Caenorhabditis elegans: one gene and its partner. The protein of the gene in region 2 interacts with the protein of the main gene of each other region in a pairwise test. Each region holds a gene or a part of one and is shown on either strand. Other genes may lie near its edges. The genes, in order: tns-1 and shn-1.

Region 1 (5,569 bases), on a different chromosome or scaffold from region 2:
AGAAAAGAAAAAAGCAAACCCAAAATTTGACACATTTGTCTTTTGATTCTTCCTCGTCTCTTCTTTCTTTTTTTCACTCTCACACATAACTTCTTTTAAATTGTCTCAAATTCAAATTTTATTCAGTGCAAAAGAACTAAATAATTCTATTGATTTTTATACGCTCAATAAGGTTTTGGAAATTAGTTTCTAAGAAATTTGAAAACTTGAGATATTTGCCATACTCTTGACCTATGAAAACTTTAGAAGTGGCTAATCATTTGTGGTTGTCACTCTTATTATGTCCCAGTAATATTGGTACAAATATAGCTCAAAAGATTGGAAAAAATCCAAAAATAACAATAAAATTGCAATTGTTTAATTTACTGTCATAAAAATGGCAATTACCTTTCATAATTACCTTTCATTTTGCAAGTTCACAAAACAACATTTTTTCTACAATTTTTATATTTAAATTAACTGTTATAAAAAACTATATATGTTTGTGTTTGAACACTATAGGTGCTTGTAGCAATGTCTAAGTGTACTCAAAAAATGAATTTTTTTGAAAATTTGGTATTTTTTCAAAAGTTGGACACACATTTAGAACTATCTAAAATGCCAATAATTGATTTTTTAAACATTAATCCTGAATTAATATTATATTTAAACTCGTGAGTAGGAATGAGAACGTAAATCAAGACGCTTTCGGTTAAAGAAGTTGGGAAGAAAGACAGAAATGGGCAATGAAAAATCTATCAGAAAATTGAATTAGTGGGTCCCGTCAAACAGAAAAAAGGATTCTGTCGACGGGCGACCCCAACAAAAAACCAAAAAAATTTCGGTGAACGGAAATGGACAACTTATGTTCGGAACGGCTTCATCCTCTTTTGGGAATACTTTTAGCAAAAAAAAAATGGAAGAAAGTGAGCAAAACGAAAAAAAAAGGAAACCAAATCCTAATTTATGAGCTCATATTCTCTTGTTTCACATTGATTTATTTATTTTTTAGTTGTATTCTACTTTTTTTCCTTTTATACAGCAATTCGGCTTTTAAGAAATTTTCTTTTTATAGTATTTTGATAATATAGAAATTTTAAATTGTTTTTGTAAAAAGAAGGTAATACTGAATTATTGGATACGAAAAGTTGAAAAAATTCGGTTGGAGGAAGATAAAAAGTGATAAAGTCGACATGAAGGTTACCTAAATCCTGTTTTTGATATCAAGCAAGTGAGAGGGAGAATTGCGTAAAGAAAGGTGACAAGGTGACAAAGAAAAGGTGACAAGATGATTTATTCTGTGCTAGTTGTGGTTTGTAAGGGAAAGAAACAAAATGTATGTAATTTGACCTACAAGACGAAGTTGGTCCTCGCTAATTGTGTACACCTCGTAGCCAGCTTCATTGTTGTATTTGTTGGATTTCTGAAAAATTAAGTTTTGTTCTATTTAGTAGGTTTGCGGGAGCAGTAGAATTCCTAGACACTCAAAAAGTGAGGAAAACGATTTCTCCTATGATAATTTTGGAAATCATCCAAATTGAATTTCACGGTGGTTCAGCTTTTTTTCAAACTTGGAGGAATGCTCGTATTCACTCAAAAAATCCATATTTTTGGAACATTCGGCATTTTTCTAAAACATTGACTGAAAATTTCAAAATGCCAAAAGATTTTTGAACGATTTTTTAGAATATATAATCAAGTTGGAAGTGTATTTAGTCTATATTTCTGCTCATGGTACTACAACATTGATAATAAAATTAACTTGAAGATTTTCAGTGTCTCTAGAAATCTAAAATTTGTTCTCAAAAACTGTTTTTTAATCGTAGAAAAAATTTAATTTGTTCGATGAAAACCAAAATAAATTCATTTATTGTCAAAAATAAATTTGAAATCTATGTGCCTCATTTTTTCCTGAAGTTACGTGTCTACTCTCATATAATAAATTTATCCAAAGTGCCACAATGGAGTAGCTTAATGCAAGATTTTTCCAACTAAAAAATTATTAAAAACAGATAAACTTTCCTGATCACAAACTTATTTAACTAGTTAAAAAATTACTCAAAAACCAAATTAACATTCATATTTCCTTTTACCCTTTTAAATCTTTTCTTTCATACCAATTTCTGTTCATTTTTTAAATAAATTCCAATTCCGTTTTCCAATCAAATGTACATTTATACATCAATTCATATATGAATCGCAGAAAACGACCAAAAAAAACCAAAAACTATCACTTTTGGTTGTTTGGCGACACATAGCCACACAAAAAAGCGTGTCGGCTACCTTTTCTTGTCCGTTTTGATATTATATATTCAATATAAAATGATCTACCTTTCTTAGCTGTGTACCGCCCGTTTTAACGAGGAAACATTCATTCGAACACCTGATTATATCGGAAAATGGGTGTGGCATTTTGCTGGATTGAAACAAAGTTGCTTAGTTTTACAGATTTGGAATTACTCTGATCGTGGTAGAACCCACACTGTTAAAATAGATGTTTCAATATTTGAAGAAAGTATTATACCAAAATCGGGACAGCTTCAGATCAGTGTTTTCATAGATTGTGTGCAAAATTTAATTGAACCTGCAAATTCATGTTTTTTTTCTAAATTTGATTATCAGAAAAGCCATGATTTACAGGGTTCATACAGTTTTCTAATTCAAATAATTTTGGAAATTTTATCATTAGAGCTATGTTTCATGTTCAATGAACTTTAAAGTTTGCCAATCAAAAATGTTTCAGAAGCAATCAGAATTGATAGAAATCAATCAAAAAAGAAGCATTTCCTATTTCCTTCTAATTCGTCTAATTTCCGGTATTACAATCGACGCCGCACTAACTAATTAACAATTTTCTTCTTTTTCTAATAGAAAACCTGCGCCTCTTGTTTCTTAAAGTACTTCAAATATTTATAAAAAATACATGGAGCACGTTATAATGAAAATTTGTGTTCCGGACTCGGAACGGTCCAAATATTTCTAAAAGTACAGTAACCCATTCGGATCTTCGGGTTTTTCTTTGAAACACTTATTCGAAAAAGGATTGTTTGCTGGAATACTATGAAGTTGGGATTTACAAGACTAAAGAAAATCCATGAAAATCGCATGATGGGTTACTGTACTTCTTTAAGGCGCACGCAATTTTGCCCTACGTCTCATGAGTTTCTGAAAATAGTCGATTTCTGAAAAAAAAAAAGTTGTTCTTTTTCCATTCTCTATCTCACTTCTCCACTATTTTGCTTGGAATGTGCTCAGAACCTCACGATTGTTTCAAGCCTCTTCCGTTGGGAGGTAGGGTGTCCACTATTTGGAAGCCATCCAAAACGAAATAGTACTGGAGACGAAGAGACGCAGAGAAAAGGTAAACGGGCCGCCCGTACTGTTTTTACGCGCTCCGAAGGGACACATAGATAAATAAAAAAGAAAATGGAAAAGAAAAGATGATGAGCCCTCCGAAGAGAGCTTATGTCCTTCTTATTTTACTACTGTTGAAGTAAATACAAGGGAATGACAAGAGAGAGAAAAGAACTAAAAGGAAATGTTTTCAAAAGTGATTAACATTGGTTTTTATTAGGTTTTATAAACTGGAAATAGAATACAGTTATACAATTGAGATTATTTCTGAATTTTCAATTAAAGTTTTTATTTTAAACAAAACTTTAAAAAATAGCTATTTAATTCAAAAGCTGTGGTGACCAAAAAAACGAACGGATAATCCAGATTTTTATTGTGAAACGAGGTCAATACGACTGCTTATTGATACCATATGTTTGAATATTTCTATTTAGAGAAACTTTTTTTTTAACTTTTGAGATATTTTTTTATTAATTTTCAAAAGTTGTTTTATTTTTGTATTCTATAAATATTTCATTTTAAGCTTTCGGGATTCAAACTTTTCAATTTAAAAACGTACCCTTGAAGCACAGCACAGAGCTGCAGCAGCCATTGCCCTTGGTCTGAAATGTCTTTTAGAAGTAATATTTTTGAAAATTCAAAAAAAAAACATCTGCAAAAATTAACTATCCACTGATTTTTCTCTATCCACACTAAACTGTTTCGCGCAAACACATTGATAGGCGAAGAGAATTAGAGAGAAAAAGAGAAAAAATCGGACAAAATCTTTTGGGTCGAACAAATGGGCGGAGCCTACTCGGGTGGGAGCGAAGAAAGAGGGAGTGGTCAAACAAGACGGCAGAAATTAATGGGGTGGAAGAATGAATATAAGATGTTTTTAAAAGTGCATTTAAATCAAGAAAGTGTTGAAATTTATTCGAAGTCAAAAAAAATTAAATTGAAATTCATGAAAAGTTGAAAAGTAAATAATTGTTTAAAAAATGAAATGAATTCTGATGAATCATTGGTAGTAGAGCTCGAAATTGAATCCCTCGTGAATCTCGTAATCCATCAATGTGATATGATCCTTGTAAATGGTGTACCACTTTTTCAACACGATCTTTTCCCATCTGAAATTTAATTGATTTTTTTTTATTAAACAATAAAAAATGTATATTTCATCACCAAGAATGGCGGTCGAAATTTATGATCAAATTACAAAAAAATCAATTATTTAATAAAACACAGGGCTGGGAGGCAAGTTTTTTTTTGCAAAGTCGGAAATTTTTCGTTTTGCAATTGTTGTAAATTTTTAAATTTTTATTATAAATTCTGCAAAATTAAATGCACTATTTTAATGTCCTAGAACTATTTTGACATGCAAGTAAAATCTATGAAAATGTTATTAATGTTTTTTCTCATGTAAAATATCTTGGAAAACTTTGGGCAAATCGGCAAATTGCCGTTTTTCAAATTTTCAATTTGTTTCTAATATATAAAACATACGAAAATAACATATGCGAATAGCCGCATGAGATGGCAAAACACAGAAAAATTGTATTTTAAAACGCGATTTCCTAGCTCGAGATCATTTTAATAACGACTTTTTGTGCCATTTTTGATTTTTTTTAGTTTTTAAGTTCTTTTTTTCCTTTCAAACGTTTTAACTTCTAACTTCTAAAGTCTATAAAAAAGCTAAATTCTTTTTTTTTCAATATAATTGATTTTCAAGTTTAAGAATTCAGAAAAAAAGATTGTGGGATCATCAGTCAATTTCAAAAAGATTATCAAATTCAAAAAGGTAATTTTCAAATCTCACCGTGTTCCAGTTTGTGCAGCGATCAACTTCTTCAAATCTCCAATTGTATCTGATGGATTGCACTTGATTCGTACTTTTTTTCCGAGTCGATCGTTTACTGTGATTTCAATCATTTTTCCTGAAAGGTCAAACAATTATGTATAATTTAAAATATTCACAAATTTCTTAAGAAAATACATGTATTTTGCAAGAAAGCAATGAAAATTCGGTATAGAAAAACATTAATGCAATTGCGCAATAAATAAATATAACTATTTCGAATGTACGTAAAAACACACAACTCGACGCGCAAATGCAGACTTGCAATGTAATCAGTAAACTTAAAGGCGCATGCACCAATTATTTTTCAAGAACTCAATTCTCGCGGCGAGACTCAACCCTTTGAAACTTAAAATTAAAACTTACTTTTTTTATTTGAGCGTATTTAAAAACGAACTT
Region 2 (8,756 bases):
AGAATTTCGTGTTATTTATTGTTATCTTTTAATTTTAATTTATTTTGTTCCATCTCTCACTCTGTCTGATCAAATACAAATTTGTTTTCTTTTCTTCAATTTGTAGTAAAGAAATTTATCAATGAATCACCGATTTGTTCATGAATCTTGTTTGAAAAATTAAATTTCTTTCAATGCAAATGCAAAAATTGGGGAGCAATTCTACGAAAAGGCATAGAATCAGTGAGGAATAAAATATATATTAAAATATAAAAACTATATATTTTTTGTATTACCCTAGGACACCGAAAAATGGAAGAAAATTAATGAAAAATGATGATGAGCAGGATAAAGACACGATGGTCAATTAGAATTGGGTTTCACTATCAAAAACAAATGAAACAATATTATATACAAATATATAAAGCCAGCTACGCGGGAGAAAATCGAGAAAGTAGAAATGAGGGGGGAAAATCATAAATCACTGGAGGAGGCCACGGAGAGCTGATTCAATTATCTGGCGATGAGCAATTCGGGTGACACCGAGCTGTGTAAATCGAGACCGATCGCACTGGCGAAGGCATCGGCCATTGATTCGTTGACTTCGAAATGCTGGTGTATATTCAGAGAGGTGTAGTGATGAGAGCCAACCGATGACGTCATCCACCGACCAGACATCTACCTTCTTGTGTTCGAATGATATTTCACTACCTGCAAAGAGAGGAAATTTGGTAATTTGTTGAAACTTAAAGGAATGAGCCCCAAAATCTAACAGATAATGATTTGAATTAACAATTTTTTCTTTTACAAAATATCCAAAAAAGAAGTTTCCTTCAAACATATTTCAAACTAGAAATGTTAACAGATAAACTGAAGCAAACAATTCAAAAATGAAGAGTTACACTGAAACAGAACAAACGAAATTAAGTAAATTAAAAAACCAAATCAAATTGTTTTTTTAATATTTAGAAAACTAAATATTTTGACAAAAATACTATTATAGTATAAATATTTTTACAAGTTTACAAGTATTTTTACAAGAATACAAGCGTAAACAAATAAACTAGATAATTCTCAAAACTGCTCTAAACATTTATAATGATTTGAATTGAGAATTTGCTAAAAAAAATGTATCCCGAGAACACAACCAGAGCATTCCAAAAACCCCATGTTAACCAAAACTAGACCCCAGACAGATTTCATTCTCCCCTTTCCTCTTAGATTCATAAATTAATCTCCAAAATTTGTGAGAACATAAATTAAGTGAGTGTGCAAAAAGAGTAAAACTAATGGTGATGTCAAATGAAAAACAAGTTGGAAGAAGAATCTCTTACAGCGAATCTCTCCATCGCTATCGCCTGTTCCAGAATCCGGATCATCATCATAATCGACAGGTGGAATGACATGAGATGGTACCACGAAGCATCCAGGTTTCGTTAGATCAACTGTTGATGATGATGACGCAGTTGACGACGAGGCAACAGACATCTGAATTGCAGGTTTTAGGTTAGAAATTGGGCACAAACCACACATGAACAAATTAAACATTCTTTCACACCATCTTTTTTTTGGGGTTAAGAAAAATGTTATATTGAGAAATCAGTGCAGGGAAAAATGGGTCTTACATTGTCCTTCTGTCCGTAATTATCCTCGAGATGCTGAGAGATCAGTGTCACTCTTTGAACATTTGGAGAGTGATCAAGTGAGAAATGGGGTCGATGATCTTTTTCTTCCGATTCAGATGGTTCCAGTGACGTTCGAGAAGATGTGTACCTGAAAAGAGAGGATTTATTTAAGTTGTATGTAAGCTTCAAGATTGAAGATGTTGAGCTACGGAAGTTCGAGAAAGCAGTTAGCAGTTACCGTGTTTTCTCTATTAATATTGTACTTCGATTGTTCAACTTTACCAGCTTATATCTCAGTTTTCGGTTGTTCTACACAAAAATTGTCAACTGACTAAATATTTTCTGATACTTTTTCTATAGTTTCATAGTTGAACATTTAATGATATCTTCTAAATGAACTGAGATATAACTGTTCAAAGTGAAATAGTGGGAATATGGTTAAAGGTACTATGAAAGTAGGCAAGAGACACGAATAGACGCCAAAAGTCTCAGAATGTTTTGAACTACATTCTGACAGACTTTTTTAAATGTTCCAAAAATTAGCAGTTAGAAATAGCCAATTAGCAAAAATCGGACACAACCAATAATTATGCAACCAACGAGCATTTTTCAAATGAAATAAACTCACTTACCCACTGTCCTTCTTATTAACTATTCCAATGTTCTGAATTCCTTTTCCACGTTCTACAACATTTTCCCGAACAGTTTCTCGAAGTGATAATCCTTCGAATCGACTTTCTCTCTCCTCATCCTCATCGACATCGTGAGCTACTTTACTCCGCCTCTTTGCCAACGCATTCTTCAAATCCATTTGAAAATCTGTCGTGGAGTTGTTGTTATTATTGTTATTATTACTGACAGAAGCCGCCGATGTTTCTCGTGGTTCTGCTTTTTTTAATTGAACTGATTTCAAGGCATCTGCTGATATTCCTTTTGAATTGCTCATCAAAACCGGAGCACTCGCAGCCACATGCATCAAACCTCCCGGAGGAGGTGGTGGAGGTGGTGGCGGAGCTCCAGATGAGATTGGAGGCAATGGAGGAGGTGGAGGAGGTACTGAAGATGTTGATGGAGGTGTGAACTCAACATGTACCATCGTTGGCTCGCAGTGTGGCGGAGGAGGTGGTGGAGGCGGTGGTGGAATCGATGACTGCTGCTGCTGAATTGGTTGAGGTGTTGAAGCTGATCTTGGAAGAGATGGATGTTGTTGTTGATATTGGTGGTTCTGATGATTCTGATGTTGCATCGGTGGAGGAGGTGGTGGAGTTTTCGGCCTTGACGTTGGTCGGAACGGCCTAGAATATTCACTCCGCTGCATTGAAGAATCTCTCTGCAAATCCGGAGAGATATACGACGCCGGTGGTGGAGCTGGCATCTCATCTTCATCGTCAAATGAATCAAATGAGTCCATTCGAGATAGTTGAGGTGTGCTTCGACTGCTACAGTTGTACTCGAATGTGCTAGTTGTGGGAGCCTGAAAAATTCTACTTTCTCAGTGTGCTCGCTGTTGGGAATTTTGCTCTGAATTGCTCCAAATGACATGATATTTAACAAACAAAAAAGAAAACATTTAAGAAAATCGGGTTAATTTTTTAAATTTTTTTCTGTTTCAAAATGTTTTTTAACTTTGGCATTTTGGCATCTTTAATCTAGTTTCTCCGTAATTTAGAGCAAATAAATATTCCGATTCCCACATTTTTCTAAAACTCACCGCTTGCTCGAAAGTCGACCTATTCAATCCGGCAGATGAAGCCACCACATTCCGTTGACCTTTCCTCCTCTTCATGTCAGAAACCGAATTATACTTCTTTGACGAATAACCCCCATTCAACGACTCCTGATCATATTGCATTTGATATGGTGAACCTTGCACCGACGGTACCCGCTGTCGAACCATCAAATTCTCCAATTCCGCTGCGGATATCCTCCTCCCGCTACCCGGCCTTTGCCTGACTGACGCGTGACGTGATTCCGAGTAGGCGTTCCTGATTTCATTTGGGGCATAGTAATCAACTCCATGCGCATCATGCGTGTCTGAAAATAAAATGACTATGCTACACGAGACCGAGAACAAATCTATAGAACAGATAACACATAATTAGAAAGCTGATCTCTATGTAAATTCTAGATTAACGTGAACAGTGAATTAGAAAGTTAGAAAAATAAAGTAAAAATAAAACAAAAAAATTCGAACCAAATCTCATCCGATAAACACTGGACGCTTTTGTAGACGAGTAGATTGCTGACGGCGTGGGTGTAAAAACCAAAGAGTGACGAGATGATGCTGGAAGTGAATGTGAGTGAATGGTGACGGTGCACGGATTAGAAAACAATTTGTACTTGAACAAAGACTACACAAAACTAAAAGCGTGCGAATATGAACGACGATACGTTGAAATTATCATTGAGATTTGGGATGATAAGTTCAAGCTTACACTTCAAGCCGAGTTTGTGCAATATCAAGATCATCAAGATACTTAACTCCCAATATGAACTTCTTTCAACCCAAATCTCAACAACACTCTATTCAACTTTCTTTACCTGTTGGCGGTCGATGCACAATAGTTCCTCCCCTACTCATATCAGCTACATCGACTGTTATCACTTTCAGTGTAATCGTGTCACCGGCTTGCTGAATGAATTCGACGACTTCATCGTGTGAACACCTTCGCACATCGATTCCATCAATTTCCAGCAAGTAATCTCCTGGCCTTAATCCCGCGCGAACCGCCATTCCGGACATGTCGACACCTTCAAAAAATTGAAGAGCCGGCACTTGAGCAGTTGGCTCGAAGTTCAATGGCATGGCGACATCTGAAACAAGAACTATGAGAAAATTATTGAGCAGTTACATAAGAAAAAGGAATTTACGTTTAGCTCCTCTCAAAATGAAACCGAATCCCTTGACACCACGTGGAATCACCAGAATCCGAGCGATATTTGTCTCGTGTCCAGCTGCAATCATTCCACCACCACGCATCGAATCCATTCCAGACCGTCGCATCGTACCGTACTCTGATGGGGTGATGGTAGTACGGGAGGATCGAGACGGGCTTGGCGATGGAGCTGCAGACATTGGACCTTTTCGTACACTTTGGGGAGTACGGTAGACATCCTGGCTGCATATTGAGGATTGGGACATCGAACGTCGGCGAGTGATGGTTGAGCTGAGGCGTCGGCGAGTTGAGTATTGAGGAGTGCCGCGATATGGTACTGGAATTTAGATTTTTCAGAGAAGTTAAAAAAATGACTCTCTTACCTGAAGATTTAGGATTATGTGCTTGAACGACATCAGCCACACCAGGATTTCCGACAATATGCGAAACATGTAACGCAGTTTGTCCTTGCTTGTTCACAGCTAGATGATCAGCTCCCCGAAACAGCAGTACTCTTGCACATTCTGGCCTATTGTTCACTGCACAGACATGAAGAGGACTATTCCCATTTACATTTTCAGCATCGATCTGACCACCGAAATAGAGTAAGTGTTCCACATGTTTCGTTAACCCATTCTTGCATGCTTGATGAATCTCGTGGTTTCCGTGCATATCGGTCACACCGATGTCGGCGGCTTCTCGTAGAAGAATCTCAGCGACTTGATCATTCGAATCTGCTGTCAACATATTATAGTAGAGCGGTGTAAGTCCAATTGGATCACGATAGTTTGGGCTTGCTCCAAGTTCGATCAAGGTTTTTACATTCTCGAAGGAAGATAGAAATGCGGCTTTGTGCATTGCAGTTTGGCCTTCTGAATTGCGAAAATCCACGTGTGCTCCGCCACCAATAAGGGATACAATTACAGCTCGATTGTTCGGGATTCCAGCAGCCAGCGTTAATGGGGTTTCTCCCTGAAATTTTGTGAAAATTAAAATAATTTCAAGATGCCCGGCAATCCTAGAAACATCCACAAAAACTCACCTGAGCATCATGAAAATTTGCATCAAGTCCCTGCGAACACATCTTTTCCACTTTCTCGTTATTCTTCTGCTGAACGTAGTCCATAAACTTTTTGAGTTGGCCCTGCAAAACGAGAACGATAAGTATCTGAATTGAGAGGTGCGCGCGAACACAAATATTATTAGTTTGTGAAGAAAGGGGGAAAGATATGCATCTGATGGAATATGACGCATAAAACACCTTGTAATTATACAAGGTTTTTGTCAGTTTTCGATCAACATGTTGGATCGGAAGGAATTGAATAATAAGATGGGATTAGAACTAGAACATTTAGAACCTGGGAGGTTTTGGCATTGAAAGTTGAAAGAGAAGTAATCCCTACCTTCGTGTGCATTGCCTTCAGCTGCTTCTCGTCAAGATTGAGCATCTTATAGACTCGTTTCTTATACTTCAACTCGAGATACGGAACACAATCAGTGAACGGATAGTCACGAATGGTCCGATCCTCGAGAAGAAACTTTCCGGCTCGTCCATCGCATGGAGGAAGGAAGAGCCCGTAGTTGAAAGCTTGCGGAAGAGCTTGCGGAAGGGTGGCCAATAACTTGCGTTTCACATCCCAGATGAAATCGTTTTGGGTCACCGCAAGGAACTTCTGAAATTGAGAAATTGTAGAAGGATTATGGAACACCTAGATAAAACATTTTGAAATTCTATGGTAAGTTCTGCAAATAGTCACAATTTTATTTTGCAATTGCTCACCCGAACGTTAAGCTCCGGAACGAAGATCTGCAAATTAACGGTGTCCTCCTCTTGATTCATCGTGAATGCTTCCGCTCGGACGCCTTTGCTTCCGATGATGACACTAGCGCATCAATATGTCTCCGGACTTGTACAACACTGTTAGAATGAAGTTACCACTATTAGCTAATCGAACAGAAAGAAATGCAGAGGAAATAGAGAAATTAGAAAAAAGAAGAGAAGAAAGGCGATAACTTTGATGTATTTACTATTGATGTCAATTGGTGGGACATGGATCACAAAGGGGGACAGGCAACATTTTGCGCATGTAGGAGGTGCTGATCATGGGTAATAAAATTGAACATAAGGTCGGGTTGGTCGGGACAAAAAAAACGATGGAAACTCTGGGTAGAGATAGGTAGGTAAATGGTTTTTTGACAGATAGGTTTTTTTGTAAAATTTCTAGTTCTTGGTTGCCTTGGTTTAAAAGTTCGAGCTAGGGCGATGACGGGCGATTGTGGGCGAAAAGCCAGCAACAGGCTGCCTTCACACATGCCTATGTGCCTGCCTATTTGCCTATATTCCTATACGCCTACGTGTCTGTTTGAAAAACGAAGAAATCGTAGAAGTCACAAAAAGTGTTGCCAAATACAATAGCGTCGAGTTTTAAAATCTGCACTTTATTGAAATTAAAAAGTCTAATAATCAAACCTATAAAGTTTTAGAACATTTTCAAACTCGAATCTATCAATGTTTCCGCATCTAAAATTCAAGATCCACAAGTACTATGCAAACTTGAAAAGATGATGGAATTCTCAAAAGACTTATAGGTTTTGCCATTCGAAAAGAACACTCGTAATGGAATTGAGGAAGCGAACAGAGGAGAGAGAGCGCGACTCTTTTCTCCGTACTGTCGGAATAATGTGAGAGATAGCATTGAAGATGTGGAGACGCAAACTGTCTATAAGAGAGGCGGAAACTGGCTTCACTTCTTGGAAGGATGAGGAGAAGAAGCTTGTGAGGAGAAGAGGAAAACTGACAGAGAGAGAGAGAGAGAGAGAGAGAGAGAGAGAGAGAGAGAGACAAAAAGTAAGAAAACGAACAGTGAATGCACGAAGTAGTAGTATTGAATGAAGACGTAGCTGTGACAAAGAGGTAATTAAGTATGTACTCAAATAGTTTGTATGTTAAAGGAAAAAAATGTAACATTGTCCTCAAAGTGTCTGAAAGTTCAATGTGAATGTTGAAGCGGTGTTTGAAACACATAGGAGAAGGGTACATATTAAAAATATGAAATTGCACCACATTACTTAACTTTAAAAAATTATATCTTGGTGTATTTTAATGATATCAATAAATTATCGAATACAAACGATAGAAAAAAAATTGCAAATATTTCGTTAGTTAACAATTTTTGATTAAAACAAACGGCAACTGAGATATAAGATGCTAAAGTTGAACAAAAAAGTGGAATGAGAAAATATGGTACTCAACTTTGACAGCTTGTAACTCGGTCGTCTCTTAAAATTAAAAAAAAACTTTTTAGTTACGTAAACATGAATTTAACAATTTGTTCGTTAACAAGTCGCGAATTAAATGGAGAAACTAGAACAATTTTCTCTGAATTTCATCTCCAAATGGTTTTAAAGCACCTCGAAAAATGCGATAAAACTACACAAATCTCGTTTCCAATTTCAAGTGATAAACGAGATGATAAGACATATGGAGATTAAGGTAGTCAAAGTAGATGATCCGTACAGCTTATTGCAGGTAGGCTTAAAGGTAGTGAACAAGAATTATCTAGGGAGAGAAAGAGAGACGTCTGGATGAAAGGAAGGTGACTATTGTAAGCTGACTCTTACAATTGAGTCAGAGACATGTTTCCGCCGGAGTTTACGACCTTGGACACAAAGTTCCAGAATCAAGGTAGTAGGGAGGAAACTGGGGGAGGTAGGGATGGGTATTGTAAAAAAATATATTAGTCATTTTGTGGTGTCAAATCAAATATTTACTTTTTGATTCCCCCCTATTCAGAAAAAATCTGACACCTGATAAGAAGGATGGCAATGAACCTTGGGGAGGAAATGAAACGGAACACAGTTGAAGGCCGTCTTTTTGAGGAATCTTGGCATTTTGAGAGGAAGCGAATTTTTGAGGAAAATGGGAGATTCATGAGGTGGGGAACAGGTGCGAGTTTGAGTTTCATGATGGAGAGGAGAGAGGAAAAGAAGAAATTTGAAATTTTTGGAGAATTTTATGAGATAGGGCAAAAAAAAATTAAAACAATTAAAATTTATGTGCATTCTCTAATAGAACTGCACCCCAAATATCAGTGAAAATACGGCGAGTATAGATAATTTAAAAAATTAATTTATTGAGCAGAAACTAAATTTCAAAGTTGTGCTTTTTCAGAAATTATTTGAAATCGAAAAATTGAATGGTTGAGGCTACAACTTTCGAAACACTAAAACCGCCAACTGTAGTGATTTTCAAATGTTCACTAATAGTATTGCACCG

What was found.
Region 1: the proteins of shn-1 (region 2) and tns-1 interact in a two-hybrid assay, tested with the Caenorhabditis elegans proteins (one large-scale study listed by BioGRID).

What each region holds. Positions count from the first base shown.
Region 1 is NC_003279.8:5,603,593-5,609,161, forward strand, and holds the start of tns-1 (Tensin homolog), read right to left. Parts: upstream 3,938-5,569; 5' UTR 3,926-3,937; coding exon 3,893-3,925; intron 1,403-3,892; coding exon 1,334-1,402; intron 1-1,333. Other genes in the region: ubl-5 (Ubiquitin-like protein 5), read right to left, coding at 4,334-4,442, 5,132-5,244. UniProt on the Caenorhabditis elegans protein: Probable phosphatase which regulates axon regeneration after injury by linking the svh-2 and integrin signaling pathways.
Region 2 is NC_003280.10:11,384,465-11,393,220, forward strand, and holds shn-1 (Protein shank), read right to left. Parts: upstream 6,401-8,756; 5' UTR 6,321-6,400; coding exon 6,261-6,320; intron 6,154-6,260; coding exon 5,884-6,153; intron 5,625-5,883; coding exon 5,523-5,624; intron 5,453-5,522; coding exon 4,864-5,452; intron 4,818-4,863; coding exon 4,476-4,817; intron 4,419-4,475; coding exon 4,146-4,418; intron 3,889-4,145; coding exon 3,799-3,888; intron 3,639-3,798; coding exon 3,316-3,638; intron 3,274-3,315; exon of another isoform or gene 3,253-3,273; intron 3,079-3,252; coding exon 2,237-3,078; intron 1,753-2,236; coding exon 1,605-1,752; intron 1,468-1,604; coding exon 1,314-1,467; intron 691-1,313; coding exon 461-690; 3' UTR 98-460; downstream 1-97. UniProt on the Caenorhabditis elegans protein: Scaffold protein that most likely acts in the postsynaptic density (PSD) of excitatory synapses which orchestrates synapse formation and maintenance at neuromuscular junctions.